Elephas maximus indicus: one gene and its partners. The protein of the gene in region 3 interacts with the protein of the main gene of each other region in a pairwise test. Links are inferred from orthologs where the notes say so. Each region holds a gene or a part of one and is shown on either strand. Other genes may lie near its edges.

Region 1 (7,253 bases), on a different chromosome or scaffold from region 3:
CCTGAGCCACACTGTACAGACGTGACCTGTTTCGGGTATTTAAAAAGTTGAAACAACTTTCTCGTCATAGAAGGTTCTTACAGTCCTCCTCTGGGGCAGCAATGCCAGCAAACGCTACAGCTGCTTTGTAAAAAGAGTTTTATTTCATTTAAGAAAACCAGACTTCAAAAGTTAAGTATTCAGCCCAGCCAGTGTCTCTGGGTGGTGTGGTCAGTCCACACACCCAGAGGTGGCTCGTAAGAAAGGGCTGGCTACCTACTTCCAAAAAATCAGTCTTTGAAAACCCCATGGAGCACAGCTATGACACACACAGCATCACCGTGAGTCAGAGGTGACTCAAAGGCAACTCATTTTTTTCCCTTTTGTTATTCAACCCCAGGTCTCCTGATAAATGAATGCTAGGTTAAGTGACAGATGTGGAGTGCACGCTGTAGGAAAAAGAGCCCAACCAGTGCCTACTCATAGCAACCCTACAGGACACCACAGGACTGCCCCACAGGGTTTCCCAAGCTGTGAATCTTTAAAGAAGCTGACTGCCACATCTTTCTCCTGCGGAACCACGGTGGTTTTGAACCACCGACCTTTCTGTTAGCAGCTGAGAGCTTTAACCACTGTGCCGGCAGGACACCTCCACCCATTTCCTTATACCCTCTGTCCTGGAATCAACCACCAATGTAATACAAATGCATCTCGGCACAAACTTCATTTCTTAATGGAAAATATGCACTATTTTACTTTCATTAATCATTTTAAAATCTTCGCTTTGGGGAAAAAAAAATCTTTTTCCCCTGGTGGCTTAAATGTCTATGAACCTTACTTTACTGTGATCCAACCGAAGGACATTTTCATATCTTTGATGAAGGGGTATTTTCGTACCATGAAATCAATCTCAGTTCTGATAAACGTTCTATGAAGTAGACGTCTAAAATGGAATGGAAATTTTTGTGGGTTTCTTTCAAGGCCTTACCAAATGACCAAATTTGGACTTCTCAGGACAGGGCACAGATTGGAATAATCGGATAATGACTTAATCCACAATTCACTGCACATTTGTGATACTGAGAATACTGGAGACATTGTTTCAGTAGTCAAGTGACTAAAAACAAGCCAGAAAATTATATGCTAATGAAGTGACTGCTGTCATCATTAGCTGCCATCAAGTCAGCCCCAACTCATGGCGACCCCACGCACAAAGGGATCAAAGCACTGTGATCCATAGGGTTTTCACGGCCTGATATTTCAGAAGTAGATTGCCAGGTCTTTCTTCCTGGTCTTAGTCTGGAAGCGCCACTGAAAGCTAATCGGCATTCTAGCAATTGGCAAGCTTCCACTGACTGACAGGTGGTAGCTGCATTTGAGGTGCACTGGTTGACGGGAATCGAACCTGGGTCTCCCTCACGGAAGGAACAGGGAAGTGGAAATAGGAGAGATGGTGCTTCCAAGGCATCCATCCTCACTGAGGAGGCAATGGATACGAATGCAGAAAAAAAGACACATTTCTAAAGACCTGAGCAAGTGAGCGTCCGCTGCACCTGCCCGGCACCTCCATTCCAGGTGACTCTGCTCTGTGCTCTGTTCAGCTTCATACACAGAAAGATGGTGGACCTGGAGACCACCCTAAGCCCACTGTCCTGTGTTGCTGTTTAAAATCCTAACAATCCTACCCGCTTTTGCTCACTTTGGTGTTACCTAGACCCTGGTCATGAATGCTGGCAACAAAACAAGGGAGGGGACGTAGTGATACAAGAAGTCGCGCACTGTGTGACCTTACAGAAATGCTCAGACAGGAGCTGTGTCGCCCTGGCAAGAAAGTTTCTCTTCAGGCCTCAGTTTACTCATCTGCAATACCAGGATAATAATATCTCTTTTCTAATTGTGAAAATTAAATGAGACTATGTCTCTAAAGTCCTCGGAGCACACCGCCCCTCTCAGGACTTCTGTGCCTCCCTTCAAATATTCCCGGCAGAAATGTAGTCACCAGGTAGTGTGTCAAAATCCACGTTCTCTACTCTGCTGTACTAACACTTCAAGCGGCGGCGCTAGCTGCAGTTTGGGGGTCGTCTCTCCGTTATAGGGCTTTGATCCTTAAGCCAGACCCACAAACCAAACGGCAATCCCTGGCTTCCTCACCAGCCGGTGCAACAGAAGGGGAGCGACCGGCGCACTGGGACCGTCATGAATGTGTAACGCGCCCCGAGAGGGCGCGCGCCCTAAATCGCCGGAGCCCGGCGCTCGGAGAACTCGACCCTCCGCGCACAGGCCGGCGGGCGGGCGGGCGCGGACCGAGAGCCTGGCCCGGGAGTGTCCCCGACCTCCGTCCCCTCGCCATGCCACTCAGAAAGGCCGCCCCCCACGCGCGACCCCCAAGTCCCGGGGACGGGAGGTGCCCTTGCTCGGTTTCAGCAAATGCGGGGTCTCCGCTCTGGGGGCCGCCCCTGGGCCGGAGAGGAGGGGACCGGGGCCAGGAGAGGAAGGGGCAGGACCCGGGCCCGGTGAGGAGGGGACCGGGGTCAGGAGAGGAAGGGACCCGGGCCCGGAGAGCAGGGGACCGGGGCTCGGAGACGAGGGCACCGGGGCAGGCGCCGCACTCACCGAGCGTGGCCACCGTGCCGGCCTCGAAGAGCAGGCAGTCGCCGCGGCCGCGCGCCTCCAGCAGGACGCTGCTCTCCCCCGCGGGCTCCAGCCGCGCGAGCAGCCGCAGCCCCTTGCTCAGGGACATGGCCGGGGCCGGGATCCGGGGCCGGGGCCGCGTCGGTCCCCGCGCTCCCCGCCGCCACTTCCAGGAGTTTCACTTTGTGCGGCGCTCCCGCCGGGCGCAGGCTCCTCCCCGGCCTCCTCCTCTTCCCAGCCTCCTCCACCTCCTCCTCTTCCTCCGCCCGCGGGGCAGGTGAGAGGGCGCGGCCCGGGCCAGGGGGTTCCCCAGAGGGGAGGCCGCGTAGGGGCTGATCCTGCGCCCCAGTGGGAAGAGGGCTTCCCGGGGCGAACAGCTGATAGGAAGATGCCAGGCATTCTTCTCTGCGGAGGAGGATGAAGGCCGGGGGTGCCTGGTGCCCTGTGTAATCCTGAAAGGACGTCCGGGGCCTTATAAGGACAGCAGGCCGGCGGGCCTGCGAGGCTGAGAGCCACTGGGAGGCGGCCAAGGCCTCCCCACTGCGGCCAGGCGCTGCGCCCCCTCTGCGGTTCACCGCTGCCACCCTGAGCAAGTCAGTACAACGCTCTGTGCCTCAGTCTCTCTGTCTGTACAGTGGGAGGGAGTAATAGGGTAGCGGTGAGGAGAAACCCATTGCCTCAGAGTAGATTCGGACTCGTGGCGACCCCATGTGTTACAGAATAGAACCGTGCCCCATAATGTTTTCTTGGCTGCAATCTTAAAGGAGTCTCGTCTTGGCGCAAATGGTTAAACGCTGGACCACTAACTGAAAGGTTAGCGGCTCAGACTCAGCCAGAGGTGCCTCGGAAAGGTCACAGCCTTGAAAACCCTATGGAGCGGTACTACTCTGAGGCGCATAGGGTCGCCATGAGTTGGAATTGATGTGAGGGCAACTAGCAACAACAGATTGCCAGGCCTTTCTTCAGCAGCAGTGCCAGGTACGTTGGAACCTCCAACCTTTAGGTTAGTAATCAAGCACAAACCAGTTGCACCAGCTAAAAAATTAATTTGGTAAAGCCTCAGTAAGCGCCTGGCACAGAGTGTTCAGTGTTGCCTTTACCACTTTCTATAAATGACGATTTGCAGTCCATTGTCCATGCCAGGTGGAGCTGTTAGGGACCAACAGGACGTTGTCATGGAAGGGACAGAATAGGCCCATGTTCTCCAGACCATGGTCTGCTACTCACTGTGGGACCTTGACCTTAACTTGTCTGCACCTCACTTTCCCTGTGGGCACTGAGTGCTAGCCCAGACCTCTGCTCTGTCTGTTTTCTGCAAGCTGGGGGAAGGTGGACCGAGGTTTGGAAGTTTCATTTCTTTCTCTTCTGATGAGTAAGTCCAGATGATCCCAGAGACTTCCATGGGGGTGTCTCCATCAGTCCCCCAAACCAACCTGGTCCTCTCTCCCTGCCCCATCTTGTTCGAACTGAAGACTGTGGACCAAGCCTTTACTCCTGGAGTTGTTCCAGAAGGAGGCAGTGCCCGAGCGCCGAGTGGACACTGTGATATCTTACAGACATTCAGGAATGGCCAGACCAGGGTTCTGCTATTTGTGGGAAACCTCTCGAGTGATGATTTGGGGAATAAAGTAGATGTGAGGTGGACAATGGGGGCTGAGATTTGAATCACTCTGGAGCCTCCTGCTCTTTCCTTCACAAATTCAGCTCCCTGTGGTGGATATCCCATAGCTGTCTGAACAGTGTCTGTATCTGTAAAATGGAGATATTACTACCTCAGGAAAAAGTGTGCCCATTGAAGAAGCTGCTGGCCCACTGCTATGGATTGAATTGTGTCTTCCAGAAAGATAATGTTGAAATCCTAACCTGTGAATGTGACCTTGTTTGGAAATAGTCTTTGAAAACGTTACCAGAAAATATTATCACAAGGCCATACCAGCGTAGGGCGAGTCCTAATCCTGTATGACTGCTGTCCTTATGAGAGAGGAGAAGAAACACGTAGGAAGAACAGCCATGTGATGACAAAGGGAGAAACAGCTGCAAGTCAAGGAACGCCGTGGGTTGCAGGGGACTACCGGAAGCTAGGAGAGAGGCATGGAACAGACTCTTCCTCAGAGCCCTCAAAGGGATTCAGCATGGCTAACACCCTGATTCGGAGCCCTGGGGGTGCTAGCCAGGTCGGCAGTTTGAATCTACCAGGTGCTCCTTGGAAACCTTGTGGAGCAGTTCTACTCTGTCCTGTGGGGTCGTTGAGTTGAAATCGACTCAGTGGCAATGGGTTTGGTTTGGTTTTGGAATAACCTGATTTGGGCTTTTTGCCTCAGAGCTGTGAGACAATAAATTTCTGTTCTTACGAGCTTTCCAGCTTATGGTGTTTTGTTTCAGCAGCTCTAGGAAACTGGTACACTCGCTTTTCCTTTCCTTTTAAACCCAAAGATCGCTTCTTCCAGGACGCCTTCCTGAAATACTTGAGGTTTCAGTTAATTGTGTCAGAATGCACTCACATTCACACTTCAGTTGGCACTTGCTCACAGATTATTTGAAAAATGTTTTTATATCTCTTTTTTACAAATAGCCTTGTTTGACAAATTACAGGTAGTCCCCGTTTTACAATGGGGCTCTGTTCCAACAACTCTGTCATAAGTTGAACACCTCTTTTGTTTGTTTTCATTTCAAAACACAGCGTTTTGGACAGTAAATCATAAAACTGAATGACAGTGAGTGAACACCTGAGAATGATAATGAATTAGGCACTGCGACACTATATGTACTACATGTTACTAAAGACAAGATGTAAAAAAAGGGACATCGTAAGTTCATTGTAATTCAAATACGTCGTACGCTGGGAACTTCAATTTTTTTTTTATATATATATTAAAAAAAAAAAAACCCTTACCATTGAGCTGATGCTAACTCATAGTGACTGTATAGAACAGAGTAGACCTGCCCCCATAAAGTTTCCAAGGAGCAGCTGGTGGATTTGAACTGCTGACCTTTTGGATGGCAGCCTTAATGCTTAACCACGGTGCCACCAGGGCTCCACTTGTATGGTACACAGTAAGGTCATTGACGGGGGGACCAAGTCTTTCAGTTATTTTTTTCTCTCCCCCTCTTTCCCACCTTCCCTGGCAGCACATAATTTAAAACTCTACACATGAGTGCTATACATATTTTAGAATTTTTTCTACGGGCAGAGACCAGCACCTGAGCTTTACAGCTTCTAGAATCTACTGTGCCATCAATCTAAGGTGAACCACTACTTTATGTACCACTGAAAAAAAAAACACTGCTAATGAAACTATATATATATATATTTTTTTTTTTTTAATGAAACTATAGCAAGCCACCGATTGGAAGATAGGCCCTGATTTCGGCAATGTTCAAATGTACATCTTAGACTCCATGAGATGTAGTAGCTGTTACCTGGGAACTGCCTGAAGGAGCCGAGAGCCTGCTGGGCCCGGGCCTCTGCCCTCTGGTTTCCACAGCAGCAGAGGAGGTGCCGTGGTGATGAGCATACCGTCTTTGTCGTGTGAGTCGGGTCATGGGGCACCAGCACGTTCAGCAGATGAACAAGTAACTTCCTTTCAATGTAGCTGAAACAGAGGCCCGGCTGATCCCTCAGGAGCTCTGGTGTGGGTGGCCCTCAGACATATCCCAAATGAACCCACTCCGTTTGTCCATTAGTCATTGGATTCCAGTTGCCTCCGAGGGGGGATAGTCTCGGGCAAGGCAGGTCCCTTCAGCCAAGAGTGACATCCCCAGCAGCTGAAGAGGAGCCTGGGGTCACCACAGCACCCTGCACCCATGTCACCAGCCTGGGCCAAGCATAACCATTAGCCTGGGTCTAGTCACCCTTCTTCCTCCCTCGCCCCCTGTTAGGGATTGAATTGTGTCCCCCCCCCCCCGGCAAAATATGTTGGAGTCCAACCCTGTACCTGTGGATGTGATCCCGGTTGGGAATAGGGTTTTCTTTGTTATGTTGAGGCCATATCAGCGTAGGCTATATCCTAAACCTAATCGCTTCTGAGTTACAAGGAACAATATAAACACAGAGACAAGGAAGGACAAATGGAGGAAGACAGATGCCACATGAAGATGGCCAAGAAATCAAGGAAAGCCAGGACTGCAGAAGCTGAAAGAGACAAGGAATTCCCACCCCCCAAGCTGACAAAGAGAGAAAGCCTTCCTCTAGAGCTAGTACCCTGAATTCAGACTTCCAGCCTCCTGAACTGTGAGAAAATAAACTTCTGTTCGCTATAGCTACCCACCTGTGGAACTTCTGATACAGCCTCACCAGGGAACTAAGACACCCCCTCAAGCTGCTCGAGTACCTTGTTAAAGCAGTCATTCTGATCAGGTCACAGCATATCCCCTCGGTAGAAGCCGAAGTCTTTGCTGTGGACCCCACGGCCCCACAGCATCTGTGGTTTCCCTGCTGGGTGCTTGGTTTGGCTCACCTGCTACGCCCCAGGGCCTCGGCCTCAGGGCCTTTGCACCTGGCATACTGTTTCCTTGATTTCCAGGTGACTGTTCTCTCACTTCTGTCAGGCCTGTTGAAATATCATCTCCCTCATGAGGCCCTTCTGAGACTCCCTATGTAAATTTCCTCCAACACCCCCAACATTTCACATCGCCTCTCCTGC
Region 2 (7,446 bases), on a different chromosome or scaffold from region 3:
TTACCTCTCTGGGTTTCCTCTCCGCCTCCCCAAGGTGGGTAGCACAAAGCATTGACTTTCCATTTTTTTCGTTAAGCAGGAGCTCCTTTCCTTTTATTCCAAATGAAACCTATGCGGAAGCCCACAATATAAAAAGTAGGTGAAAGAAGAGCTGCGGAAAGCTGCCTTTGAGCTATCTGCACAGAACCCCAAACTTCCCCAGAGCATTCTGTGATCTAGGATGCTGTAAGAAAGGGGCAGGGCTAGCAAGCACCCCCCAGCAACTCTCTCAGCCTTGGAGAGAGGATACAGAGAAACAGCCACATGGGGGAGGGAAGGTGACATCCAGGCAGCATTCGTACTGTACCTGGACCTTAAAAAAAAGGCCCCTGCAAAAACAGGTGAAGGAAAGTATTTGATTCTGAACTTCAGAGGGTAGCGGTTAGAGTTCTCTCTGATACAAAAACAAATGAACAAACAAAAAAACCTCAATCGAGGTGATTTTATTTCACATCTACCTCTCAAGATGATTGGTGAGGATTAAATGAATTGCCTCAGTTATGCTTCAATTCCAAAAGGCGCAATTTTGAGAACTGTGGTCCCCCAAACTCAAAAACACTAAGCCATTTGTCCTAATGACACAGCAGGCTCTGAACTCTGGGATCCCACAGGAACATCACACGACTACAAATTACTAGGTGGTGCTGAGTCCCTAAAAAAAACGAAGGCATTGCACTGTTGTGAGATGCACACTTGATATGGACTAATCAAATGGTTTTTCAGATTATTTCCCGGGAGGCAGAATCTCTTCATAGTTAAACGGCACTTAAGTTTCCCCCTTTGTTGTAGTTATCTGTGTATAAACACACGGCACATATAGTGGTGTATTTTCTCTCTCTCTGAAGTTTCTGAAGACAAGGCCTTTTTGTCGTGGATAAGTGCAGGGCCAGTCAACCTTACAAAAGGAATCATTTAATGCTCCATTTTCCCAACTTTCCTATGATTGAAACGTCTAACTTCAAACGCTGTTATTGTGTTCTAGATTGCTTTCCTTCCCCCTCCCCCAATAAATGTTTAAATTGTCTCTACTTTCCCGGGATCGCCCCCCTTCTTTTTTCAAGCTGACCTTGAAAACAGGAACGCCCTCCTTTTCTTTCCACAGCGCCCAAACTATTTTAAAATCGAGCCCTCTGACCTTTTTACACTCCTCTTGTCCCAGACACCAAATGAAAGCCAGAGGAGGTAAAAAGGGCCGGGGGGCGGGTGGTGGAGGGAGGGAGATACTATATATATTCAGCATTCCTTCAGAAATTCAGCAAATGTTTTTGCAACCACTCCCCCAGTCAAGATCCCAGCTCCTGCCTTCCAGCACATTAGTAAAAAAAGATGCGGGCGAATGAAATTGGAGGCAGGGAGGGACACCTAAGGCAATCTCATAATTATGGGCCCAGGGAAGCCCCCACAGGACCAGGCTACAAAATCCGCGCCCCCCAGCAACCGAAGTTTAGGATCTGGTCCCCTCCAGCTCCCACCCCACCCTCAGAGTAGCTGGTTAAGCTTGGAGCAGCACCTCCCAGTAACCGCTCTTTCGAGAGACAAACGGAAGGGCTGACCCAGCCTCTGCACGTCGGGGTGGCAGCGCTGCGCGCCCTAAGAATCATGTACGTTCTTTAATATATATATATATGTATACCATGAACGCACAGGCCTGGAATTACTTAACTTGTGAAATGAATCTAACACACCCAGAAGTGTCCATCTCTCTGTCAAACAAAAAGAGAGAGAGAGATAGGAAAAAAAAAAAAAAAAAAGGCGAAAGCACATTACCATCTTGTCCCGAGTTTTCCAGATACTCCGTCAGGTCACAGCCGAACGCACTGGCGGCTCCCTTTCGTTTCAGCTTCTGCTTGGCACCCTTGTTCTTCATGAGTTAGTCCCAAAGAGGCTGCCCCTCCGTCTCGCCCTCCCCTCTGCTTGGCCCCGCGCCGGAGACGGTCTCCCGGCTTAGCTCACTGGCTGCAGCGCGGCTCTGGGGGGCCGCATGGGCGTCCGCAAGGCCCGGGGGCGCGGGAGCGCACAGGAACCCCGCGGGGCGCGGCGAGCAAGCCTGGGATGCACCCCGCTCGCCGGGGCCGCGCCGCGGGGAGGCCGTGCGGAGCTGGCAGCTGCGCCCCGGCTGGCTGGGGAGTGTCACTTCCTCACTTGGAGTCCCAGGGACTTTCACAGGCTCCTGCCGAGTCTTCGGGTGCTTTTCCTCTGCCTCGGAGGGAGGGGAGCGCCCCCCCTTTCCGCCTTCCTAAGTGCTCGGGAGAGGACGAGCGCGAGGGGCGAGGGGCGAGGGGCGAGGGGCCAGCCCAGGGGCCGCCGTGGGTCCGCGTCCCCGGGCCCGCTGTCTTGCCTTCAGACGGCCGTGGTGAAATGAAAAACAAGCATCCTGTCTCTCTCGCCCGCCCTCACGCCTTCCTTTTTTTCCTGTCTTACAAATCCTAGGGTCATCCAGCTCAGGAAACGCTGGAAGGAAGTTAGCCAGGGAGGGGGGCGGAGGGGGACGTTTTTGGCAGCCCCGAGCTGGTGTGTGCACCGAGCCGGAGGAAGTAGGTGGGTGGGTTGAGGAGGACGCGCTGGGGGGAGAAGGCGCTCTGCGGAGGCCGCCGCGCGCCCCTGGAGATGGCTCCGGGCCGCGGGAGGAAACCGCGCTCTCCCCGGAGGACCCGCACCCACAGCCGCGCGCTTCCTGCCCCGGAGAGGCTGCCTTTGAAGACGGCGGCGGGAGGCGCCCTGGCCTGCAGGCTTGAGGGGGCTAGATGGCACCGCAAACAAAGTTCTGCCTTGTCCTGACCCTCATTGTCATCACGGCTTGGACACGTTCTAGTTTGGTGCCCGCCTTTCTCCTAACACACACACTTGAAGAGTAATGACAGGAACAAAGACGGGGATTCCAGCCGAGAAGCCTGACAGAGCGGTTTCTCCTGCTGTCCTCCCGGACGTCGGTGTACCCCGAACCCCAGCTCATTCCCGTCTCACGCTGAGGCAAGAATACCCTTGGGCGAGGAGAGGCTGGGGCTTTGTAATCACTTCCCGGGAAATCAGATTCCTGGTGGCGGATTCAAGTACACACACACACACACACACACACACAGGCTTTACGACAAAGTTTGCTCAGTTGAATTGATTTAAGACATCCCTGAGATTCTAGCATAACGTGGAGGTTGTAATCTCCCTGGTTGCTTCATAAATTGTCTCAAGTTCCTTCAGCAGGGCATGTTTTTTGCTTCTTCAGTTAGATTTGAAATTCCTAGACTTCTGTGTATTCAGCACACAGTGAGCACTCAAATTCTTGTGAGTTAACCGTTTGGGGATTAGATTAAACTTCCTGTATAAATTCAAATCAGTGTATAGGTTTGAAGAGTAAGGGCATTTCTACAGCTCAGATTGCTGGCAAAAGCTTTATTTATGGTATTTTAGTTATGGAATCCTTTTACAATCACTTGTTGCCCTATGTATCACCATGACAGTTTATGAACTTTGACCCTTGCCCTTTTCTCTATCTCAGAGGTCACAACTTGGTAGCCTGCCTGCTGAATCTGGCCCACAGATGTGTTTGGTTTGGCACATGCCATGCTTAAAAGAAAAAAAAAATTTTTTTTAATTAGTAGCTAACAATAAAGAGTTAAGAGATTTCACACTAGAAATCTGGATTTCTGGCTTCGTTTGCAAAAATGGAAAATCTGATAACATTATAAATGCATTCCCACACAGCAAGGTCGGGCTGGAGCCCAGAGGTGGATACTCCCTTTGAGGCATCCTCTATAGAGAGGTGAGCCTTCCTGCCTCACAGCCCCCACTGCTGTCTTCTTCCCTTTGCACCTGCCTGGCCCCTGGAGCCACTTTAGTTTTTGATTCAAGCTCTGTGGAGTGTCCTTCCTTAAACACTTCCCATCCGTCTCTTAGTGACACCAGGATTGCCGTAGTCATCAGTCAGCCTGGCGAGACACTTGAGGTAACCACTGCCTGACTCATTTCTCTCTTTTTATCCCATCTCCAGTCTAGTCCCGCCCAGACCAATGAGTCGTTCAAATGCCTCTCGTGTCAGTTTCTTCCTTCCCAGGCTCACTCAGAGAGGGTCATCCCACTCCTCCATTATTAGAATAACTCCTAGTGTGAATGGCTGAGTCCAGTCTCTTCCCACTTCATCCACCCTAAGAACCTAAGGCCTGGTAGATGACTCTCCCTGAAGTATGACTTGTTTTATGGCAGCTTTTCGAAAAACCCTTCAATGACTCCTTGTTTCCTATTGCCAGGGCAGCAATTTCGAAACATTTTGCAAACTGCTTGAAGAATATTTGGTAGGATATGTAGTACAAATGGCTTGCACTCTCCTTTGCTTATAGTCCTCCATCTGGGGATATAGTTATTACTATTAAGATTTGTGTAGTTTACTCTAGCAAGGACGTTCGTAGTCTTTATTTCATCTGACTTACAGTGGATTTCATCACCTTGTCAGTAAAGGAAAGAGGGAGAAAGGGTACTTTTTCCTGGGTCCAGCCCCCCAGAGCACAAATTATGGATGAACTGCCAACCCTTGTGAATTACCCTTTCAAATATTAAAAAAAAAAAAAAAGGTTTAACTTTTCATTTTGAAATAATTTCAGCACATAAAATTTTCAAAAAATAGTACAAAAAAGAATGACTATATGCTTTTTACTCAGTTTTATCAAATATTAATATAGTATACAAACAAAGTATAATCTTGAAACTAGGAAATTTATATTGATACAATAATATTAACTGGTCAACAGAAACCCAAAACCAAACCAAACCTATTGCCGTCGAGTCAATTCTGACTCACAGAGTAGAACCGCCCCATAGGGCTTCCAAGGCTGTAATCTTTATGGAAGCAGATTGCCACATCTTTCTCCCGAGGGGCTGCTGGTGGGTTTGAACCACCAAATTTTCAATTAGCAGCCTAGTGCTTAATCACTGCACAGCCAAGCCTCCTCTAATCAACAGACCTTATTCAAATGTGAATTATCTTTTAATTAAATAATTTTTTATTAAATATAACTTTTCCTCACAAAGTTCATCAATTGAGTATGAGATCAGTAATTTACAAATAGTTCTCAGAACACGTCACAGTGTATTAGCTTTGTACAAGATTCCCTTAATTGCCATCTGTGCTCCTGGCAGAGAGGCTTTGTCTAACCTCCTTGTCCAACTTCACAAGGGAGAGAGAGAATCAAGATCAACATCAGCCCAAGACTGATGATTCCTGTGAGGTGGAGGTCAGACATACCTCTGCCCTCCAACCTTTTTACCAGTTCTGACACCAGCCCTCCCTCCCACGTCACTCTCTACTTCTCTGCTGGGTTCAATAATTCATTGCAGTGACCACAAAGAATTCACAGAACATACTCACAATTATGGGGTTTATTTGGGAAGTAACAGGCTACAACTCAGGATCAGGATAAAGAAGCATGTAGGCAAAGTCACAGTTATGAGGATCAGGAAAGACTCAGAATATAGTTCTTCTGTCAGGACAGCTTCTCGGCTGTGCCCATAGGCAGGACTCTTCCTGATCCTTGGCCTCTTGGGCCAGCCCAGCCTCTGCCCTGCTTGGGTAAGGGTTACAAAGCTCTTTAGCTCTGCCAGTAAGTGCCCAGGAGTACCCGACTCCACCAATAAGCCTTGGCCTACAGGTGCTCAGCTTTCTAGCTCCATGGGCTGGCATACCCACTGTAACTGCCTTGCTCTGTGGGCCCTGGTTCTGCTGCTACTGTTTCTCTGCCATCGTGTCTCATCATCTTATGCTGTTTGCAGTGTTACAGCTCGCCCTCTGTCTCCTGTGTCTAGGAGGTTCTCCACACAGGACCCCAGGTCCAAAAGATGCACTCTGCTTCCATCTCTTCTTCTTGGTGGTAGCGAGGTCCACTCTTCTGCTCTGGGATGGCTCATTTTAAGCCTAGTGGGAAAGCAAAACTGACCAATCCCTTCATTAGGATCCCGTTCAACTTATTTGCATGACTCCACCCCCACTAGGGTTACATGTACCTTATTTGCATTATTAGCAAGCTGTCCAATCCCCTTGGTGGGCCACAAGCACCTTACTTGCATAGTCCCACCCAGTCATTTGGTAGGAGTCACAAGACCGTGTGTGGTTAAAATGACCATATTAAGTAATTCACTGCACCACACCATCAAAACCAGCAAGTGTAGGTTGTCACAAAACAGGGCTGCCCAGATAGACCAGAAAGACTTGTGCCCTTCCTTAACACAGCCCTAAGAATCTGCTCTGCTTTCCTCAGAATTTCTAAAAGGAACTCCACTGTTACAGAAATTTTCATCTTGAAGCAGCCTGAGAAAACTTTTGGTCCCTGGTTCTTGATAAGTTGGATTCAAGATGTTAAGGGTTTGGATTAAGATAATACTGATTACCTGGTAATGTATTGCTATGCCTGGACTGACTGAACACACCTTATTTGAAATGTGCACATGGTGGTTCTTTGTCTCTATTTGATAACTCTCAATTTTTTTTTAATGGTGGCATGAATTCACAACTTAAGAAGCCAGATAATGCAACCACAGAGTGACAACATTACTCAGGCATCTAGAAAGCTGTCTTCCACTCCTGTCTGCTCCCTGCCACTTCTTAGTGCTGAGGGTGCCCCCTGATAAGTGCCAAACGTGGGTCCAGTTCTTCTTCTGGGCTCTCTTTTTGCTTTTTCTCTTTCCTTCCCCTACTTTTCTGTTACCATTTCTCTTCTACTTCTTGCTGGGTCCGTGGGTCTGTGGGGAAAGTCAGGTTTGAGTTCAAAGGGTTTTTCCATTGGGCTATGAATTTCCTAGGAAGCAAGGTCATATGGAGATAGTGTAGAAATGTTAACTGAAGGGCTAATTGAGCTATTTGGTGATAACATAAATTATGCCCTTAGCAGATTATCATGGTACACATTTAGGAGGAAACCACTTTACTCTCAGGGAGATATCACGGAAGAATTCTGTTGTTGCCTATGAGCCATCTTATCTGCAACTGTTGAAGTGTGCCGTCCGCCACCTTCACTCACCAGGGATGGTAGCAATCATTCTGCCTTAAATCAATAGCTTAGGAGCCAGAAAGGGGGTACTGGGAGATTCAGTGTCACTTGTGAGCTAGCCCTTTCTTTTACCCAGTCTGTCCATAAAACTAGAGACAGCAATCAGCAATTTTAGAGTTCTCCCTCCTCTCCTGGTGCCTGACTAGTTACTCTTATGTCATTCCTTATCCATGGACTGTATCATGTTCTGAACTCCATTTCCTAGGATACTAGAGAGTTAGCTCATCCTCCTGCTGGATATATTTCCCCCTTCCCACTCCCCATTATTAAAAGTATTCATGTGGTGTCTAGGTTCAACACTGATTATTAGGTGAGGCTCTTCTCTAAGGGGGATCTTGTACCATCCCTCAGCCCTGCCACCAGTACCCTGAGTTCC
Region 3 (6,898 bases):
ACTTAACTACTACCGCCACCAGGGTTTCCATTTGCTCCTTACCAGTCCTTATTTCAAGTAATACAGCTTCAGTTTTTTGTAAAGGTACATTTCACTTCTAATGTTGCTCAGCCTTAGCCTAATATTGCTTCTTGACTACAACATCGAGAATACCAAGTACAGCATTAGAAGGCTTATTGAAAACTCAGGTCAGGAACTGTGTTTTATGCCTAGCACTCCCTCACGGAGCCTAGCTGTGCCTCACAGTAACAGAAGCAGCAAAAATAAGAATAATGGAAGCTGGCACTACTAAGCACTCACCCGGGGGCCAGGCACCTGGGAGGTACTTAATATACAGCATCTTGTTTAATCCGCGAGACTTCCCCTTGAGGCACCTCTCTTGGGGGATAATGATCTGCTCAAGGTTACCCCATAAGTGGTGGGCAGGGATTTGAAGGGAGGATTCAGATCTCATGGTAGGCAGTCAATAAGTTGTTGGACTATAAACTAGTCAATACAAATAGTAGCTAAACATATCTGCTAGCACTTATGGTTTCCCTTCTGATATTTTAAGGTAAGAATATTACATCCTATGGTTGAATATGGAATTATCAGCAATTCATTGACTTAAAAAAATACTATGTATTAGTTCATATTCAAAGTATTGGGAGCTGTGGTACTGCTATGGCTGCTAACCAAAAGGTTGGCAGTTTGAATCCACCAGCCGCTCCTTGGAAACCATATGGGGCAGTTCTACTCTGTCCTATAGGGTCGCTATAAGTAACAATCGACTCAGTGGCAATGAGTTTGGCTGTCGTAGGCATTATAGATTTAGCATTTCTAACTTTTAAAGGAAATTCAGATAATTAAAAATGTTCCTAAGAAAAAGTGACATGTTTAATTAATTCATTATGCAAATATCAAAACTTCATTTAACTGAATCTATTGATCTCACACTTAAGCCAATTAACTGAACGTGTTTTAGTCAAATGACAGAAAGCAAACCTAACTCGTTGCCGTGGAGTCAGTTCCGACTCAGGGTGACACCATGTGTTACAGAGTAGAACTGCGTCATAGGGTTTTCTTGGCTGAAATATTTACAGAAGCAGATTGCCAGGCCTTTCTTCTGAGGTACTGCTGAGCGGGTTTGACTGGCCAACCCTTAGCTTAGCAGCTGAGTGCAAACCGTTTACGCCACGCAGGGGCCTTAAAGCTTTTAAAAGGTTTAAAAACAGAAAAACAAAAAATTTTTACAAATTCTTAAGTGAGAGAAACAATTTTCAGTTATATGTATAGAACCACCAAGTATTAACACCCTTCTCACCTCTAAGTCCGACAAGTCAATCAAATGTCTAATTGTTCTTGCATCTCAATTGTCACAGAGATCATTTCAAATGTCAAACTTAGAATTAATAAATTCACTTAGAGGCATACACGCACAATCAGTACTGATGACAAGTTTGAAGCACGCTAATTAAAAGATCAGTGACTCCAGAACGTCTCCTTCGACTCTACACACTTGAGAATGTATCAGTTGCGTTCTGAACGTGACGAAACTGGTAGTGAGTTTTCAAGCTTCCCTGTTAACACCAAACTACACGAGCGAGGCTGAGACGCACAACACCGCTCGGATTATACTGAGAGTCTTGTTTCTATGGGAGGAAAAAAAACCTGCATAAGACAAGTCTTGTCTTCCTCTAGGGCCTGGAACCCCCCCAGACAGTAATGAAAAGAAATGCCTTGAGTCACAGGGCAGCTCCGCTCTGGCAGCCTGTTCTGCTACACCCCATACCTAACGCATTAAGCGAAGGCCAATTTTTTTTTTTTTTCTGGTGGGGGGACCACATCATGTTCAACGAAGGGAACAATCTTAATCACACCCAGCTCCTTTCTTCACAGCTAAAATCTTAAACGCTTCTCCCAGAGAGCAAATTGACAAAAGCAGCACAAAAAGAGTAGATGGGAAACTTAGGGGGCAGTAAGTTTATGGTAACGAGGGAGGAACAACTCAGAAAAGGAGAGGGGGGAATGGTTGAACAACTCGAAGAATGTAATCAATGTCACTGAATGGGACGTGTAGAAATTGGTGAATTGATGAATGCTCTGCGCACATTCCCAACAACAAAATGAAATGAAATATATTTAAAAAGTTTCTCTAAGAAATAGCAAAAATAATCATCTAAAAGCCCTAGAACCGGCGAAGCGCAAGTCGAAGATATCTCATCACAAAGAAGTTTGGGGTCGCCAACCCCGCCCAGGAAAACATTCATCCAACATTATTAACTTGGCCACTGTTGCCCACGAAAGCGCTCAATGGGGTGCATGGGGCACGAGAGGATCCTATAAAAGCCGACGGTCCTTCTTTTTTTTAAAAGGCGACTCTAAATCCCACCTAACCGACAGGCAAGTAAGGGGAGCGTGGGGAGCAGCGCTGGGAGGGGAGTTGGGCATTCGGCGACTCCGGCCCCGGCGCCCACCGCGGGCCCGGGAGCAGGGCAGGAGCTGGAGGGTGGAGTTCACTTTCCCTCCAGCCGGCGCTCATTCCCTCCTCCACGTACAAAAAAAGGCGGAACCAGGCCCGCGCAGCCCGGTCCCGGGAAGAGGGGAGGGGGTCCGCGCCGCCGCCGCCCGGCCCGGGGAGGGGAGGCCGGGCCCGGCCCCTAGGCGAGCCCGCGGCTCCGGCCTCCCCGGCCAGGGCCGCCCCCCGCCCGCGGCCCGACCCCCGCCCGCGGCCGCCCTGCCCGGCCCCGCGCACTCACCCGTCTCCCACCACCACACACTTGATGGCCTGCATCTGGGCCGCTCGCGGGGAGGCGACGGCGGCCGCGCGGTGAAGCAAGAAGCGGCGGGCGCGGGGCGCGGCGGGCAGGCGCGCAGCTGCGGGCGGCGGGGCGCGAAGTGCCGGGGCCGCTGTCCACGCCGCCTTGCGCTCAGCAGACTGCGAGCCGGAGCCGAGCGGCAGCCACCACCCAAAGCTGGAGGAAAACTGCAGAGAAACAGGAAATGGCCGCTCCACTCACATCCGGCCTCCCCTCCCCCGCGCCGGCGCCGCCGCTCCCAGGCTCCGGGGCGGGGCAGCGCCCGCCGGCCCGCCCGCGCGGCTCCCGGGGGGCTCCTCTGGGCTTCGGAGACGCCCGGAAGCTCTCGGAAGCGCTCGGCTGCGACCGCAGGGCGAGCCTCAGAGGGCCGCTTGGCGGGCGGGGCTCCTCTTGGCTTCGGAGACGCTCGGGAACGCCCGGAAGCGCTCGGCGGCGGCTGCGGGGAGGGCTGCCATCTTGGGGTCACGAGCCTGTCTCTGGCCGGTCGAGGTTGTGGGGGCGCCCTGCGCCTCGGGGACCGGCCTTGGAGTGGGGGATTCTTCTCGGCACAGCCCCCAGGATTTAGGCATTGAAAGATGCACTGAGTTCCAGGAGCCACGCTTACGCAGATCAGCTCCTGTCCGAGGTCATCTGAAGGGTATTGATTCCAGCCCACACTTTTTATTATCCATTTTATTGTGATAGTCACCTAAGGTCTTTCTAGAAAATTCGGAACCGAAAACTATATCAAAACATACACCGCACCAGTGTTCAGAGAGAACCCATGTTCATTCAGCAAAAGAAAGTGTTTAATTTTCTTCTTCTGTGTTATCATCTTGTATTATTTTTAAAATGTATTGAGGGCCAACTGTGCCCTATGTTTTGTACCAAGTTCTAGAGATGAAACTGAACAAAAATGCCCTTGTCTTTATACCAAAGCACTAAAGTTCGGTATATTTCCTAGTTAATTTTTTATATACGTAGAGAACCAAACCCACTGCCGTCGGGTCAATTCTGACTCATAGCGACCCTATAGAACAGAGTATAACTGCCCCATAGAGTTTCCAAGGAGCGCCTGGCAGATTTGAACTGCCAGCCTCTTGGTTAGCAGCCGTAGAACTTAACCATTACACCGCCAGGTCTTCCGTACGTACATAGAGAACATGGTTTTAATAAAATTGAGAGATCAATGTTAGAACATCGTTAATGGCTGCTTGCTATTCTATTATGCCCACGTAACTTAACCAATTCTTCTGTTACTGGACAGTTGGAATGTCGCTAATCTTTATTATAAACAATGCTGGAATGAGCGTGTTTATGGAAGAATGTTTTCCTATAGTTTTATTTCTTTGGACTACCAGTAACCAGTTGTTGTTTAGGCGATTCTGACTCATGGCAGTCCCATGTGTGCCCATGTATGTCAGATTAGAGCCATGCCCCATAGGGCTTTCAGGGGCTGACTTTTCCGGAGTAGATTGCCAGGCCTTTCTTCTGAGGTGCCTCTGAGTGGACTTGAACTGCCAACTTTTCAGTTAGCAGCCAAGCTCATTAACCATTTGCATGACTACTTTTACCATAAATGCAGTTACTGGGTCAGTACCTGTGAATGTTTTTAAAGCTTTTATACATACATGTAGTTGAATTGCCCTCCTGGAAGCTGATAATCAGTTTACACTCCTATCAGCACTGTTTGAGAGTGGACCCTCCAGAGAAGTTAATTTCCACTTGTATTTTCATCTTAGTAGGACCTTCTTTCCCTATGACTTACTCTTTTGCCCAGTATTGAACCAGTTTTCTGAAATCAGACCCTTTGAATACAAGTATATATTTTTTTTAATTTTTAAAGCATTTTTGGCTTACAATTATTTCAAAATAAACATATTCCCAGGGCAAAGGGCACCTTCTTTTTGCTCTGTTCATAAAGATCACCCTTGAGGAATAGTTGAAATTTCAAAGGTGATAGAGAAACAACATCCTGTTTTCTGTCACTGCTGAAAAAATTTTCTAGTTGACAAACCTAACTACTCAGCATGATTACCTTCATGTGTTACCAGGGCCAGATAAAAGGGTGGGGACTCATCAGTAATACAGTTCAAGAAATATCAGTGTTGTGCTGTTGTTTTGTAATGAACTGGTAGTAAATAAACCAGACAGAGACATAGTTGCCAGGACACCAGGCCTACTGTGCTCATTGTTATAAGTAGATTACAAGTATGGTGGTTATCAGAAGGCAAAGCATGGAAAAGATATTCATGCCTACAAAAAGGTTTTCTTCAAAGAGATGACAGTTGAGCTGAGAGTTGGAAGATGGATTTGGATAGGATTTTTAGTGGGTATTGATGGAGCAAGAAGAAAAGAGTTTTCCACAGAGAGGACTTTATTCATAGGTTACATGGCCAGCAGAAGAGTAGGCTGTCCTCAGATGTGACACAGAGAAGACAAGCGTTTGCACTGTTCAGGTCTCGAATCCAGAGAAGTATTCACAGGCTGGATGACAAACTGCATTGAATCTGGACTTTATTCTTATATTCCTCATTTTATTAATTCAAGAAGTGACACAATAAAATTCAAATTATTATTTCTCCAGATTGGTAAAGTAGAAGTCCACTATAAAGAGGTTCGACTGCGAAGCAACCAAACTAATGTTCAGTGCACATATAAAAATCATTCTTAATTTAAAACTCAGTGATCACCCTTCTCCAAGTTTTTCCTTCAGTATCTACTTATAATTTTCCCCACAGAAACAAGTGATCAAAAAAAGTTCCAATTAAAATTAATAAAAGCAAATAAATACTCAATTAGACCATGCGTGTTTCTGAACGTGCTACCTGGTTAACTCATTTATCAAGTGTATGGAATCCTGTACCCTGTTTAGGTCCTTCATTCAAGGTCATTCATTTACTCATTTCCTGAGCACCCACTTCTGTTCCATTCACTGTCTAGGCGTTGAAAGTGTGAAATGAACAAAACAGAGCCCTGCCATTGTTGCTAGGAGCTCCAGGTTCTGCTCAGCACTACTCCATCCAAAATCACAGAGACTGAGTTGGGAAGAGGGAAAGGCAAGCAAGAAGACAGTCGCGACTTTGTGCCATCCAAGACTGCCTGGCGGGCAGTTTGTTAAAAAAAAAAAGGCTGGTTTATATAGGAAAGATTAGTTTCAGAATACAAAATGGTGCAGGCACAGAGCATTTTAAAATGAGTAAGCATTTTCTAAGTCCTGGGTTCAATTCCTCATGGAGGAGGAAGTTAGCCATTTTTGTTTGTTAGCATGTTAGCTCTCAACCCAGGTGCAGAGAATTTACCACACATGAGGCAGTTAATGAGCTAAAGGTTATCTCTAGTGCCAAGATGGAGGGCAGGACCTGTTTTGGTCGATTTTGGCTAGCCGGTGGCTATTTCTTTTCAAAGAAGTTCTGAGAAGAAAAACAACTTTAGGAAATGGGCTGGGTGAGGGGCTGTCCTGAGGAGACAACAATTTTAAGAAAATGGCTGTAGCCCTGTCTTATCATCAGAGAATCTACATTCTAGTAGGGGAGGTGCATAATGGGCAAGTAAATATACAATACAGTGCAGTTCATTTCCAGGTTAAGATGGTGGATCACAGAGATCTAATTTCATGTCCACCAAAAACCTTGTAAGAACTTCAATAAAGGAATTAAAAAGAAAGAAAGAAAGAATCTTGGAACAGGGAATGGGGAAAAAGACATCCTGATGTCAGAAGCTGAAACCAGATAAGTAGATGAGGGGACAGAGTGGTTGCAACTGACTTAGCCACCTGAAACAGACCTAGACTGGTAGTGAGAAAAGCTGATCCACACCAGCTCTGTAGCAGAAAATCAGAGGCTCAAAACCAGCAGCACTGGGTCTTTATGGATGAAGGGAAAGATAAGGAGGATGGGGCGAAAGCTGAGAAGCTTGGAGCCCCCTACCTTGCCTCCCACCATGCACTAAGCAGAGGGGCCACCTTCCCTCCCCTCTACAAAAGACTGGAGATTCCTTTCTAAAACAAGATGAACCAGGGAATCTTTAGATAATGAGACAAAAACAAAGGAACTTAGTAGCCTTAGGCAGAGACCTCAGTCCCTCCCAGCTTTCACTTTGCCCCTATGGCTCCAGGAAGC
Region 4 (6,970 bases), on a different chromosome or scaffold from region 3:
TAGCCATCCACTTAATTTATGTATTGAGGTCATGTTTCAAGGCCAACATCTCACCTCCTCAAGGTTCCCACTTGAACACTTCAAAAACCGTAAACCTTAATTCCCCAACCAAGCCCCAAAGGAACGTGACTTAGCACTAAAAATAAAGAACAGTATTTTGGAATGCAACAACTTTATTCAAAGAAAAGTGCAATGAAATTTCTTGAAAGCTTAAGAGAAAAGGGGGAACAACTTAAACACCTCCCCTCAAGCGCAGGACCAGATGCAGAGTGGACTCTTTCTGGATGTTGTAGTCAGACAGAGTACGTCCATCTTCCAGCTGTTTCCCGGCAAAGATCAACCTCTGCTGGTCAGGAGGGATGCCTTCCTTGTCTTGGATCTTTGCCTTGACATTCTCGATGGTGTCGCTGGGCTCTACCTCAAGGGTAATGGTCTTCCCAGTCAAGGTCTTCACGAAGATCTGCATTCCCCCTCTCAGACGGAGGACCAGGTGCAGAGTGGACTCTTTCTGGATGTTGTAGTCAGACAGGGTACGTCCATCTTCCAGCTGTTTCCCGGCAAAGATCAACCTCTGCTGGTCAGGAGGGATGCCTTCCTTGTCTTGGATCTTTGCCTTGACATTCTCAATGGTGTCGCTGGGCTCTACTTCAAGGGTGATTGTCTTACCAGTCAAGGTCTTCACAAAGATCTGCATTCCACCTCTGAGCCGAAGTACCAAGTGCAGAGTGGATTCCTTCTGGATGTTGTAGTCTGACAGGGTACGTCCATCTTCCAGCTGTTTCCCAGCAAAGATCAATCTCTGCTGGTCAGGAGGGATGCCTTCCTTGTCTTGGATCTTTGCCTTGACATTCTCAATGGTGTCGCTGGGCTCTACCTCAAGGGTAATGGTCTTCCCAGTCAAGGTCTTCACGAAGATCTGCATTCCCCCTCTCAGACGGAGGACCAGGTGCAGAGTGGACTCTTTCTGGATGTTGTAGTCAGACAGGGTACGTCCGTCTTCCAACTGTTTCCCGGCAAAGATCAGCCTCTGCTGGTCAGGAGGGATGCCTTCCTTGTCTTGGATCTTTGCCTTGACATTCTCGATGGTGTCACTGGGCTCTACCTCAAGGGTGATGGTCTTACCGGTCAAGGTCTTCACGAAGATCTGCATTCCCCCTCTCAGACGGAGAACCAGGTGCAGAGTGGACTCCTTCTGGATGTTGTAGTCAGACAAAGTACGTCCATCTTCCAGCTGTTTCCCGGCAAAAATCAGCCTCTGCTGGTCAGGAGGGATGCCTTCCTTGTCTTGGATCTTTGCCTTGACATTCTCAATGGTGTCGCTGGGCTCTACCTCAAGGGTGATGGTCTTACCGGTCAAGGTCTTCACGAAGATCTGCATTCCCCCTCTCAGACGGAGAACCAGGTGCAGAGTGGACTCCTTCTGGATGTTGTAGTCAGACAGGGTACGTCCGTCTTCCAGCTGTTTCCCGGCAAAGATCAACCTCTGCTGGTCAGGAGGGATGCCTTCCTTGTCTTGGATCTTTGCCTTGACATTCTCAATGGTGTCGCTGGGCTCTACTTCAAGGGTGATGGTCTTACCGGTCAAGGTCTTCACGAAGATCTGCATTCCCCCTCTCAGACGGAGAACCAGGTGCAGAGTGGACTCCTTCTGGATGTTGTAGTCAGACAAAGTACGTCCATCTTCCAGCTGTTTCCCGGCAAAGATCAGCCTCTGCTGGTCAGGAGGGATGCCTTCCTTGTCTTGGATCTTTGCCTTGACATTCTCAATGGTGTCGCTGGGCTCTACTTCAAGGGTAATGGTCTTACCGGTCAAGGTCTTCACGAAGATCTGCATTCCCCCTCTCAGACGGAGAACCAGGTGCAGAGTGGACTCCTTCTGGATGTTGTAGTCAGACAGGGTACGTCCGTCTTCCAGCTGTTTCCCGGCAAAGATGAGCCTCTGCTGGTCAGGAGGGATGCCTTCCTTGTCTTGGATCTTTGCCTTGACATTCTCGATGGTGTCACTGGGCTCTACCTCAAGGGTGATGGTTTTACCCGTTAAGGTTTTCACAAAGATCTGCATTGTCTGAGAACAGAAAGAAACAAAGGACCCAAAACTTTAGCAGGTAATTCAAACGTCACTACGTTCCTAACCCAAAAAATAACAATTTTTTACTAGACCAAAAAAAACAAAACAATTCTCTCCCAAAAAACTTCACGATATAACCAGTGACAAACCTAACAGATATGACAAATCACCTGAAACCCCAGATTTTAGCCCCTCACGAAGGCAGGCTGGCAGGCACCCTGACCGTAGAAACTCGGCAGCCTCCCCCGCCAGAACGTCTGTCCCCCGTCGATTCAGCAGGGGCTCCCCCAGGCCCACACTCTGCGTCGCCCCGTGACTGCCACAAAGCTCCCCCACACATTTACGGGCAGGCGGCCCCACCCCAGACTGTGCGCCGAACAGAGCGGGTGACGTCACGCTCCAGCGCTGCGGCCGCGGGCTCCCTCTCCGGCGGGGGCTGAGGTGCAGAGCTGGCCACGGCCACGGCGGCCGGCAACCCGGCCTTTACTCCCAGTCACTCCCCAAAACTCAGACGCCAACGTCAGGTTCCCCTGCCCAAGCCCGCCCGACAGAAGCCTAAGCTCACGCCCACCTGAGCTTCGCTCTCCCTCCGCTGAGCCCTGGGGGCGGCCTGGCGCTTCTCTCCCCTCACAACCTTCCCTCCCTCAGTTTCCTCTCTCCGACCTTTCAGTCAGAAGCGACCGCCATTTTGCGGCGTTCGTCCCCCTCACGGCCACCCTGCTGCAGGACCCAGGAGACTAAAAGCCCCGGCTGCCCTTCGCCCGCAGCGAGCAGCACTGTCTGTCCCCCACCCCTCGCAGCCGGACGGCCCCGAGGCTCCCGGGCCAGCATAGCAGGATCCTACTCACCAAGCGGCTGTGGAAACAGAGAACGCAAAGAGAAACAGAAACGAACACCGACCTCGACGGACGTCCCTGCACCACACCCGGCGCTTCTTTATATAGTCATAGCAGGCCTCCGCCCCAGGGAGATTCCTCCGCAGAAACGCCGAGAAGGAACTATTTTACCCAGCCCCTTTGGCAACCTAGAAAGAAAACTAGACCCCAAACTCATCCAAGTCCCCTCATAAAATGCTCTCCTGTCAAGACTGGGGCTTTCGGGCTGGGTCGGGTGGGCAGCGGATCACCGTCCCGAGGGGCCTGGCGGAGGAATCAGCGCGTACACAGTGCGCTGCGACCGAACGTGACCGCATCACGCCTTGGGGGAAGGGAGAGGGAGCGGGTGCCGGGTGGGGGCGGCTCGCGGCGGCGCGAAAACCCGGCGCGGAGCCGCCTGGGTGTCCGGAGCGGGTGGGCCTCCGTGGCCGGTAGCCCGACCCCGACGCCCCCCCTCCCCACAGCAACCGTCCCCGCCGTTGGCGACACCAGCTCTTGGCGGGCGACAGGTTCGGGCCGAGCGCCTCAGTCTGGGTCCGCCTCCCCTCTGGCGCGCCCCGCCCCCATCCGAAGCCAGGGGTCGTTATTTTGGTTCACATTTGAAATAATTATAGTGTTTGTTTCACTGTGTCCCCCCACCACCAAGGCCTGTCGTGAGGGTCCCCTGGGTTCCCAGCACCCCTGCTGAGGCGGCCCTGCCCACCCCCCACGGAGCTGGCACGGGGACAAGGCGAATGACTCGACAAATCTCAGATTTGCGGCCCAGCCTCTGGGCCAGGACAAAGGCCAAGGCCAAAATCCAGGCCTCAACTAAAGTCTGGTCCTAAGGACAGGAAATCTTCAAAAACAAACGAAACAGTTTTCCAATGGAGAAATGAATGTGCGTGCCTGGATTGAATTAGGAAAAAGAAAGGAAATCCCACAGTTTTTTTTTAATTATTTGCGCTGGAATTGAAAGCTGACACACAGAAATTTCTAGGCTGTTCTTTAGCTTCCTGTTTATTCGCTGGGGCCTTGGGTTTTTGTAAAGGTTGCACTTCACTGTAAACAAGAGGCGTTCGAAATTTCACTTCTGTTGATGTTCAGTTCAGCTCAGAAATCGAACGCAGTTAGGACTCATTTTAAAATTTGACACCAATTGAGTCTCAGCCTTGTATATTTTTGGGAAAAAAAATTTAAATATCCAGAGTATGAAATTTACTTCCACAGGCAAATTCCATTTTTATACAAGAGAAGAAAAACGATCACCAGCCCAGATTTTTATTTTTATGATCTCTATGTCACTTCTTCAGCTTATTTTTTAACTGTTTTAAAATATATTAACACGGTGAGAATTCAGAACAGGTTTTTATAAGTTCACAGTGAAATCTACCTCTTTCCCCTCAATTGTCTGGCCACCGTTCCATCTGGATTCTTCTAGAAATACTCCCTGCATCTACAAATGTGCGTATTTTAATTTCTAACCTTAAAAAAGTCAAGAGACAGAAGAGCCAGCTGACTGAAAAAATTTTTCTGCTATCAGGAATAGAATACATTCCTGTTTTAAGTTACAGATGTTATTTTTAAACACACTTAAAATTTTAATCAAACCAAAACAAATGCTATATATATTTTTTATGGTTGCCTGTGTATGTATTTATGAAAACACAAAAGATCTGAGTGCTGTTCAAAATAGATTTTAACCTCTGTAATTTTAAGCATTTTTCCAAGACAATGAAGTAATGTGTTACTGGAAAATTAAAAATGAGTTATAAAGAATGGAATGCCATTTTCAATGCCTTCCAATACAGAGTTCTGTGAAGGTTATTTCTCTCTAAATTTCTGGAAAGAGACGTTAAAGAAACAAAAAGTTGAGGTTCGCTATGAGGTTATTTCTCTTTAAATTTCGGTTAAAGGAACGAAAAACAGATTCTTTCTAAGGTGACCAGGCCCTGCTTCAAACCACACCCTGTTTGCTTTTGGCTGTTGCAAGTCTTGTAATTCTTGTTGCTTAAAGGCTGAGTCACGAGCTATGTGACATGGTTATCTTCAGAGTCAAAAGGTACAGAGAAAAACATCCCTGATTTCAGAGGCAGGGGAGAGAGAAGAGGAGGAAGAGAAGGCAAAGAGGAAAAAAGAAAGAGGAGGAAAGGATTAGGCCAAGGGTTACCTCCACAAAGAAAATAAAGTTCCTGTTAGTTGGGAGGGTACTTATTGTCTCCAGCAGAAAAAATCTCTGAAACACCCCCGTATTCCCTAACTTTAAGTCCGAGAGTGGGTTATCGTTGAAACAAACAAGAAGTAAACATTTCCCTGAGGACCCTGAAGTTGGGGAGAAGGAGCTTAGGGGACAGCAATGGCCTCCCTAAAGAGGTGGGTGGTTTCCTAGAGCAGTAGGCCTCAGCCAGGAGCAATATTGTCCCCCACGGGGCATTTGACAATGTCTAGAGACATTTTTGATTGTCACAATTGTGGGTTATGGAATGCTACCAGCATCTAGTGGGGAGAGGCCAGGGATGTTGCTAAACATTCTAAAATGGACAGCCTCCCACAACATATAATTATCCAGCCCAAAATGTCAACAGGGCTGAGACTGACAATCGCTGCTCTACAGAAGGATTTGTTGTTACAACTGCTTTTCTACTTGCTGAGAAGGCCACCAAGGCCCAAAGTCTGAATGTCCCCCTTGGACTCTGGAGTCAGGTATCAAGTCACGTTCCTAAAACCTAAAACCCCTGACCTACAATGCAATGTACTAGAATGTGCGAGAAGCAGGATTAGTCATTGGATCTGTTTCCAGTTCTTTCCACCCACAGATCCATCCTTTGCAAGCATCCCAGAATAGATTGCTTCAGAGCTGGCACCAATGGAAAAGTGACAGGAGCCCAGCAACAGGGCAGGATTGGCTAGCAGATGTGCGCACGTGATGGGCTGAGCTCACAAAGGGCCAGGGTGTTTGGCTGCACCTGAAGGTGGGGGTGGGGAGCGGGCAGTTGGATTGGTGCCCGTTTGTCTGCTTTTCTTCCTTTCCCCCAAAGGTTTCAGATCCCCTGAAGGTCACAGCCCTGTATGTGACTTGATTCAACATCCTAAAACTGTCTGAGAACGCAACAGTCAGCAAACATTTTTCCCCCAAGAGAGAGGAGGAAATGTGAGAGCTAGATGGGGAAAGTTTGCCTTGCTTTGTCATTGGTTATATAACCAAAAAAGGTTGTCAAGGAGATCTGCAGGTTAGAACACTTGCAAAAAAATAAAATAAAGCCCATGGGATTTTGTCATTTTCCTGTTTACACAGGTACATTTGAATTGTGTGGCAGGCCACAAACTCTTTCAACTTAAAAATGACCAATTTTATCTCCCGCCAGTCAGAAAATCAGACTGAAATTTTAGTCTCCAAATTTGTCAAATAGTACCTTATGAACTTCAGGAAGTTATTGAACCTATTTGGGCTTTGCTTTTTAAAATGTAAGATAATATTTAACAGTTGAATAACTTCTTTTTCCTCAACGATTCAACAACTCTTCTAGAAAACTCCATTTCCTAACAAAACTTTACCACCACCAACTTCTTAGGGTATTTTTTTTTCCCTTTCAGTTAACTATTAGAAACAGTTACGTACAAGATACAAAGTGAACCAGAAGCATATGATTAGTTTTGTGTTAGGCTTGATCGCCTTAGGAATCACCTCAATGTTTTGTTCCTTCAGAACTTTGACATTTAGGGAGAAATAACCTTTACTGAAGCTTGTTAGACACAAGCTGTCACCAATGCGCCACCACCTAACTGGTGAGTCATTTCATGAATTTCAGTTTCCTTATCTCAAAAATGAAGGCTTTGGGCTCAGGAACCTTCCAGATCTAAGTTTTGACATTTTTATGATTAACACTATGAGGTCAAGTCAAATTAGAGAATGGATGTGAAGAGGGGAGAAATTCATTATTACAGCAAAGAACTATTCCCATAGAATCCTTTCTTTCAATAAAAGTAACTCTTTTAATTTTAGTGCTAAAATATACCAGGTTTCAGATAGTGTACAAATATAAACAGT

What was found.
Region 1: the proteins of RAC1 (region 3) and SYNJ2 interact in a two-hybrid assay, tested with the Homo sapiens proteins (2 studies listed by BioGRID and IntAct). The link is inferred for Elephas maximus indicus from reciprocal best matches to the Homo sapiens genes RAC1 and SYNJ2.
Region 2: the proteins of RAC1 (region 3) and ARHGAP31 interact in a two-hybrid assay, tested with the Homo sapiens proteins (2 studies listed by BioGRID and IntAct, with this or other methods). The link is inferred for Elephas maximus indicus from reciprocal best matches to the Homo sapiens genes RAC1 and ARHGAP31.
Region 4: the proteins of RAC1 (region 3) and UBC interact in a two-hybrid assay, tested with the Homo sapiens proteins (2 studies listed by BioGRID and IntAct, with this or other methods). The link is inferred for Elephas maximus indicus from reciprocal best matches to the Homo sapiens genes RAC1 and UBC.

Annotation. Positions count from the first base shown.
Region 1 is NC_064819.1:230,244,245-230,251,497, reverse strand, and holds the start of SYNJ2 (synaptojanin-2), read right to left. Parts: upstream 3,007-7,253; 5' UTR 2,720-3,006; coding exon 2,593-2,719; intron 1-2,592. UniProt on the Homo sapiens protein: Inositol 5-phosphatase which may be involved in distinct membrane trafficking and signal transduction pathways. May mediate the inhibitory effect of Rac1 on endocytosis.
Region 2 is NC_064819.1:9,631,657-9,639,102, reverse strand, and holds the start of ARHGAP31 (rho GTPase-activating protein 31), read right to left. Parts: upstream 3,004-7,446; 5' UTR 1,907-3,003; coding exon 1,807-1,906; intron 1-1,806. UniProt on the Homo sapiens protein: Functions as a GTPase-activating protein (GAP) for RAC1 and CDC42. Required for cell spreading, polarized lamellipodia formation and cell migration.
Region 3 is NC_064830.1:100,915,357-100,922,254, forward strand, and holds the start of RAC1 (ras-related C3 botulinum toxin substrate 1), read right to left. Parts: upstream 3,011-6,898; 5' UTR 2,774-3,010; coding exon 2,739-2,773; intron 1-2,738. UniProt on the Homo sapiens protein: Plasma membrane-associated small GTPase which cycles between active GTP-bound and inactive GDP-bound states.
Region 4 is NC_064840.1:5,697,696-5,704,665, reverse strand, and holds UBC (polyubiquitin-C), read right to left. Parts: upstream 3,025-6,970; 5' UTR 2,917-3,024; intron 2,066-2,916; 5' UTR 2,063-2,065; coding exon 233-2,062; 3' UTR 154-232; downstream 1-153.